2 linked regions of the Arabidopsis thaliana genome follow. The protein of the gene in region 2 interacts with the protein of the main gene of each other region in a biochemical or structural test. Each region holds a gene or a part of one and is shown on either strand. Other genes may lie near its edges. The genes, in order: SULTR1;2 and OASA1.

Region 1 (3,928 bases), on a different chromosome or scaffold from region 2:
TTAAGTGTGAATTTTGGAGCAACATTGATGAAGCTTATTTATAACGAAAGTTTAGGATAGTTTTGTTTTAATTTAATGATAAGAGAGTGGTGGTCATATACAATTTGATGAATCTGGATTACTAAGAGACCAAGTACATTAAGAACATTGAAAAAAGTCTAACTAGAAAAGATGCAATTTTTAATTGGCGTTGATCGACATTAAAGTTTAAACAAATTAAGTCAATGGTTTCTGTGGCAAACTTTGTGTGCAATACTGAAAACAATCTCAATTCAATGATCTCGTTTACTTTTTTGCTATAAGGAGAGATAGTTGACCAGAATAGCCACGTGGCACATAGTGAGATTTTTTAAAAATGCAACAGTTATCCCTCAATAAACGAGGAAGAACTAACGTTAATCATATCCTTTCGTTTTTTTTTTTATAAAATAATTTAATTTTAGCTAAGAGTAGACGAAGAGAACCTTATTAATTAACATTTGATTTCTGGATTTTTTTATCATCGTTTTGGGTTGGACATAAACTTTAGAAAAGGACTTAAGAAAACTTAGAAAACAAACCTAACTGAACAGAAATTTGGAAAGAATACCTAAAAGGCTATTATATAAAACCTAATTCATATGTTCTTTTTTGGTGGTTCTAATTGGGACTTGATCTCTTGTCCAAACTCTATGTAGATGTTCTGTCAATACCAGCATATTGACTTGTTCATTAGAATGCATTAAACCAACATTTTAAATCACCCATTTTTTAGACAAAAGCTTTAACTTGTGCAAGTTGATGGACAATGACATGATTATTATAAAAACTAGCCGCAATTCATTTTCAACCTAAGTTTTTCTAAGGAATTAACCGGCGTTTTTCTGTCACATAAGCCAATTTCGATCACAAAAAGCTATAAAAAATAATACGATTCTCTTTTCTGACTAATTTTTATATACTTTAAAACACAAATATTGTAATCAGTTTTTGCTGGAGCCAAAGTGAGCACCACATGTGTTGACTTTGTAATGTAGACAAGTATGCATGATTGATAGTGAGTTAATTAATATTCTACCGATCGAAGAGACGCTGTAATCGTAAACTCCTACACCAGACGATACCTCTTCAACATTTTCCTAGTTCTATTCATTATTGTATAATTGCCAGTTATAAAATTGGGTGATTAATCTGATATCTATACACATAGACAAAAACACAATTGAAAAAGGAATCAACTAGTATTATACTATTTTCACCAAAAAAGAAGAAGATGATTAAACATTATATGCACGTGTATTCTATAAATGAGAGGTTTCAAAATAAATTAATTGGTGTTATGCATAGCCATTGATAGTTGGAAGGTGAAACACCCACTTACCTGGAAAAAGAAGAAGAAGAATTCGATCTCGCTTTTTAGCCTTTTTCCTCCAAATTAGACCTTTTACGTGATTTATTTTAATTTATTAAAGCGAAAAGGGATCTTAAAAAGTAGAAACAGAAAAGAGAGAACGATTTAAGAATTAGAGAAAAAGTACACGAGAGATATTAGTTAAAAGCCTCCCCTTTTTAGATTTTAGAACACCAGATTGTTCATGTTCACTATTCTTTTCTAAAGTTTTAAAACAGTAAAATCAGTAAACCTGAATCATGTCCCGGTTCACTGAATCACTCTCTCATCAAAATACAAAACGAAAACCCTAGTATTTTGTGAGAAAAGTACAAAATTTACAGAGAAAATAGATTTTGCTTCAAACTGGAAAAAAATTCAAGAAAGATAAACAAGAGATAAAAAAAATTATTTAACAAAAGTGAGGGGAAAAAGAAATATAGATCTGAGCTTTTATAAATTTAATGTTTTAAATTGGAATAAACATTAAATTATAAGAGATAAAGATCGTGATTACGAATATTTGGCTTTTTTAGGAGAAAAAAATATAAAGGTGATAATGACAGAAGTAATGGAAACTAAGCAAGAACATCAAAGCGGTTAGATCAAATGATTTTACGACAATGCCACTGGCTCCAAATCAAGAAAAGCGAAAAGGTCAAAAGTTAGGAGCGTTTTTTTTGGGGGGTGAAGTTGACTTTTATAGAAACTGGTGGGCCTCGTTTGAACGTGGACTATAATGTGGCTAGGTTCGTCTTTGGTACAATTAGCCATTGACTACGTGTTCGCTACGCGCTAGATAGTGCTTTGGTGGCTACGAGCTATTTGTTCTCCATGTTGGTTCACGGCCAGCCACACACTATCTTACTATAATTTTTTTTTTTTAAATGTATATTCGTCAACTATTTTGTCGTTGTTTCTTTTTTTTTTTTTTGGGTATTAAACTGAATGTCCTAAACAGCTGTTATAATCTGTTTAGATATGTATTATACGTTATCATCAATCTCAAAAATACGTACCCACGATTGAAGTCGGTAACACATTATGTTTTGCATATGTATGCATATTATAACAAGTTTCGATTTGTAAATTTGTGAATGTAACACTTTAAAAAAGAAAATGTAGATGTATGTATGCATATTATATGCTTCATATCATGGGCCAAGTTGAGAAACCGAACCAAGTACCAACCAACTTGAGAAACCGAACTACCAAAAAAACATCATGGGATATTGGGATGTAGGACCAACTACACTTAAATATATATCCGATGAATTCGAAACTATATATATTAACATGTTTCTCTAGCTACACAAACTTTCTACGATGTGAAAAATTGAAATTGAGTTTTTAAATATATACGTTTAGGGTCGAACTTCAAAATTTGGTATAGTTTTAGGCTGACTTGAAATGATATTTGGGCATTTGAAGTATACGAGAGCTTAATTACGTTTATTGCATTAAACGATATACAATTTTGGGTCACAGACTACAGAGGAATCTAAACGTTTCTTTTAAAACTTTTGCTTGTTTTGTTTGGTATATAGTAGAGCTTTGCATGTGAGACTTACCAATAAATATTACTAAGACTAAAAGAGATTTCGTAATTGTAGAACCTCCTGACCCATAAGTTTTCGAAACGACAATACTTGCTGATTTTATACAGATAAACTAATTTATCATAATCGTTTGCATGTTTATTCTTAGCTAATTCTTAGTCATCTTCGTTTGACATTATAAACCATTATTTTATAGCAATTTTACATAAATATATTTAGATATTGTACGCTATTTTAGATCATATTAAAAAAATGCATTCTATTTAAAAATAACCATACTTAAGATTATTTATATATACCGGTATTAATAATGTTCTATAACATCCTACGAAGCATTCAACGAAGATGATTAAGAATTGTGATAACCATGTTAGAAATTGCGAAAAGAACAAATCCGTACCAACCAGAAAAATAAAATAATCGATCGGTTTCTTATATTATGAGAGACCAAACGTTTCAAATTTGTCGGGGGCATATAATCGACTAAAAATTTTCAGGTGCCGCCTAAAAATGGGTAATATATTTATCTAGTCAACCGTTCAGTTTCTATACATGAATTTTAATCATAGTATATGCATTTCAATCTGTAAATTAGTCACGATTATGTTTGACAAAAACAATATTATGTACGTATGAGTATGTTAGCTTGGTTGGTTAGAACTCTCGTCTATAAAGATTTTTTTATTTATTAAATAGTTTATCGTTTTGTACCGATGAATAAAGTTTATAAAAATTATTTTGATTGGTTGTTCGACATCAAGTACCAAGTAATGTAACATTTGCATGTAAAATATCAAAACATATACTACATCATAAGTTTGCCATCGCAAACGCTGACAAAAAGTAGTTTCTTATTTTATTTTTAAATTTTTGTTAAGGGACAAAAAGAAGTTTTAATTTAAAGTATTTTATAGAGGTAAAATAATGTGAAGTGGTCTTTATGACTAAATTTAAACGCAGCAACCAAAATTCTTAGAAATGTTATGTTTTGTTCGGATCT
Region 2 (3,928 bases):
GCTCTCTTGCATTCAATTGTGTTTTGCTATCAGTCGATAATATCGAAAAGCAGTCTTACCTGAACAACTTCGTCAATAAGATCAACATTCAATACACTTGGTATAAAACCAGCTCCTATCCCTTGAATCTTGTGAGGACCTTGATATTTTCAGCAAACATCATGTGTTAGGAAACTCCGAGGATAAAAAATAAGACATGAGGCAAACCGAGAAACGAGGAACATGCATGCATGGTTATCGTAATAAACGCAGGGGGAACCAAAATCACCTGGCTTCCCACCGGATAGAATAGCACTTTCAACTGGCTCCACTCCATACAGCTAACAGAAGAGGAAACAAAATGAGAAACCGTGCAAAGACACACCACTTAGTCACTTAGATAACAAAGCCAGTTGTTCGAAAAGATGGAGCTCTCACCTTGACGTTTGCGTTCTGTTCTTTAAGATACTTCCCAGCACCTGTAATGGTACCACCAGTACCAATCCCAGAAACAAAGCCATCGATTTTGCCACCAGTGCCTTTCCATATCTCAGGTCCCGTAGTCTCATAGTGGATCTGCATTTGACAGTGAAATTCCATCGACTTAATATGGTTCAAAAACAGACAAAAACAGATACACTAAAGCAATAGTAAATAATAAGCATACCTTAGGGTTGGCAGGGTTCTCAAACTGCTGAAGCATGTAACCATTGGGTGTTTTCGCCAAAATCTCTTCCGCCTTTGCGATAGCTCCTTTCATGCCCTTAGCTGGGTCAGTTAAAACCAACTCAACTCCAAAAGCTAAGAGAATGATTCTTCTCTCAGTACTCATAGAAGCTGGCATTGTAATAATAAGCTTGTAGCCTTTGGCAGCTGCCGTGAATGCTAACCCAACTCCAGTGTTTCCACTTGTTGGCTCAATCAGCACACTCTAAAGAACAAACAAAAAGTCAGAAACAATGAAAACAAAAACAAAATAGTGGTTTGAAGATTCAGATAATCGAAACTGACCTCTCCTGGTTTGATAAGACCCTTCTTTTCTGCATCAGAAATCATGCTAAAACCAATCCTGCAGAAATAAACAAAGTACAAGGTCTTCACAAAACCGAAACTCGAAGCGAGAAACAACACATAGTTTCTGGACTAGAGAAGAAACCTGTCTTTGACGCTAGAGCACGGTTCCATCATCTCAAGCTTAGCAGCAACACGACCAACACATCCTTCAGCAACATTGTTCAAATACACCAATGGAGTGTTCCCAATCAACTGCCAAATAGAATCAATCAATACATGAACATGGAACAAAGCTCACTCCTTCGTGAAATGAACAGTGAAAGAACTTGAAAGCCTTACTTCAGTCACATCTTTAGCAATTCTCGAGGCCATGATTCAAGCTTCACTGCTTAAATTCACAAAAAGAGAAAAGTAAGACCAAAGGAATAAATCATCCTCAAACCAAAAACACATCATACAAAATCATCAAACATAAATCTCCAGATGTATGAGCACCAATCCAGTTATACAACACTCTTAACACCAAATCAACAGATTTAACAGCGAAATAAGCTTAAGCCCATACAATTATCCGATCCAAACAAATATAATCGAAACCGGCAGAGGAATAAGCAAGTGAATCAAAAAGTATGGGACGAGGAAGAAGATGATACCTGAATGAGAAAGTCAATAACCTTGACCCGAATCGTTTTGAAGAAAATGGAGAAAATCGGTTGTATGGAATAAAATCTTCGAATGATGAGATATATGATCTCTTTGGTGTCAGTCACATGGCACACGCTATCAATTTAGAAAAACGCGGTGGTTGGTCACCAGAATTACTACTTCTCGGTCTGATTTGGTCATATCCGTATTAAGTCCGGTTAATATTTTCCATAACTGGGGTTTGAACATTCGGTTTCTTTTTTTCAGTTAGTCCGATTTGGAGTTTTGAGTATGGAAAAATAATACTGAATTTATTTGTTCAAACTGTTTTGGAAAAAATATTTCCCTTAATTACGAATATAATTAAAATTTTAAAATTCATTTTATTAGATCTTGGTTAATTCGGTTTAATGCATTAATGAATTTCGGTTTAAGTCGGTTTTCGGTTTTTATGTCCCACCACTATCTACAACCGATGATCAACCTTATCTCCGTATTCACCACAAACAGTCATCACTCTCACTTGACACAAAAACTCTTTTGTCTCCGTCTCTCTGTCTCTCATGGCGACTCTTCCTCTCCCGACTCAAACTTCTACAATCTCTCTCCCTAAACCTTATCTCTCCAATTCCTTCTCCTTCCCACTCCGTAACGCAACACTCTCAACAACAACAAACCGCCGGAACTTTCTCACCACCGGAAGGATCATAGCTCGGGCATATAAAGTGGTGGTAGAGCACGACGGAAAGACGACTGAATTGGAAGTCGAACCAGACGAGACGATTCTATCTAAGGCTCTTGACTCTGGCCTTGACGTTCCCTACGACTGCAATCTCGGTGTTTGTATGACTTGTCCAGCGAAACTCGTGACCGGAACGGTGGATCAAAGTGGTGGGATGCTAAGTGATGATGTGGTTGAACGTGGCTACACGCTTCTATGTGCTTCGTATCCAACTTCTGATTGTCACATTAAGATGATCCCTGAGGAAGAACTCTTGTCTCTCCAGCTCGCCACTGCCAACGACTAATCATCTTCTTGATTTAGACTAAAGAAGTCTTTTTTTTGGTGTAATACGAACACTTTGTAACGAATCTTGCTATGAGACTTCGAAATCTTGATTTCAATGAGCCAATACAAACAGTGATACATAACATAATCACAGTGAAACATTCCTGGTTTAAGATGAATCTATTAAGTACTGAACTAAATTCGTTGATTGAAACATTAGGAAAGTGAATAGATATGTATAATTTAGATTAATAAACACACAAGGGTAGACTAATTCAGAACCAGAAAGAGTGAGAGTGTTAGCTACAAATGATACGATATAAAAAAAGAGAGATTACAACAAAAACGAGGTAGAGACAAAACGTAGACACCAGAGATCAGTGGTTGGTTACTTACCATCTTCTTTTTTCCTTTGTCATTGTCTAATCAGTAGTAAGCATGCTGAATATGGTGGTGGTGGTGCGGGTGAGGATGGTAAACTGGAGGGGGTGGAGCAGCCACCGGACTGCAGTAGGTACCATATGCTGTCGGATAACTGACCGGAGAGGTTTGGTAAGAACCATGAACCGCCTCGGGTGAGTATTGGTATGGAGGGCTCCTGTTGCTGTAGATGGTAGGTGGGGATGTGGTGTATGCTGGTACACCGTATTGAGGTGAGTGACTTTGGGATCTGATGAATGTTGGTGGAGGCGGTGGGAAAGAGGAGACGTAAGCGTTTGTGATACGCCCTGCTTTGGCTGGTGGCATTGGACCGCTGTAGCTTGCTCGGGTTCTCTTGTTGGCGGGAATCACGGCTGGTTTTCTCTTCTCGGTTTTGGTCTTCTCTAGCTGATCCAACCTCTTCTTGAGATTCTCGGGTGGGAATTCTTCCTCGAGTTTGTATTCTTCTATGCATTTTAAGACTGCTCTAAGTGCTGATTGCTCTTTGCGCGCCACAAGATGCTAGAAAAATACACACATACATTGGTAAGCGAGTGCAGAAGAAACAGATCCCTGCAAATGGATCCAGCAAAGAAAACGAGTAACACAAATGGAGGAAAGTACCGCAGATCGGCCAGAATTGTTGGAATCATCAGTGATTAAAGCTGTAGCTTTCTTTGCATCCCTCAGATAAGCTTTGAGCAAAGGAACAGGAGGGAACAAGTGTACAAGACCAACTTCAAAAGTGAAATGAACCGCATCAAGCTGTTGTCCCCTGATTATCAACTCTTCAATCATATCTGTGTGAAGCCATAACAACCCAAAAACCATCATTTTCCATTTCAGATACTACTCACAGAT

Evidence for each region.
Region 1: the proteins of OASA1 (region 2) and SULTR1;2 form a complex in vitro, tested with the Arabidopsis thaliana proteins (one study listed by BioGRID).

What each region holds. Positions count from the first base shown.
Region 1 is NC_003070.9:29,325,815-29,329,742, reverse strand, and holds the start of SULTR1;2 (sulfate transporter 1;2), read right to left. Parts: upstream 2,229-3,928; 5' UTR 1,361-2,228; intron 415-1,360; exon of another isoform or gene 1-414. UniProt on the Arabidopsis thaliana protein: High-affinity H(+)/sulfate cotransporter that mediates the uptake of the environmental sulfate by plant roots. Plays a central role in the regulation of sulfate assimilation. Unable to transport molybdate.
Region 2 is NC_003075.7:8,518,686-8,522,613, forward strand, and holds the start of OASA1 (O-acetylserine (thiol) lyase (OAS-TL)), read right to left. Parts: upstream 1,912-3,928; 5' UTR 1,647-1,911; exon of another isoform or gene 1,452-1,646; intron 1,382-1,451; exon of another isoform or gene 1,379-1,381; 5' UTR 1,366-1,378; coding exon 1,333-1,365; intron 1,246-1,332; coding exon 1,136-1,245; intron 1,049-1,135; coding exon 991-1,048; intron 911-990; coding exon 647-910; intron 556-646; coding exon 418-555; intron 321-417; coding exon 269-320; intron 140-268; coding exon 60-139; intron 1-59. Other genes in the region: FdC1 (2Fe-2S ferredoxin-like superfamily protein), read left to right, coding at 2,202-2,666; AT4G14900 (FRIGIDA-like protein), read right to left, coding at 3,074-3,589, 3,692-3,867. UniProt on the Arabidopsis thaliana protein: Acts as a major cysteine synthase, probably involved in maintaining organic sulfur level.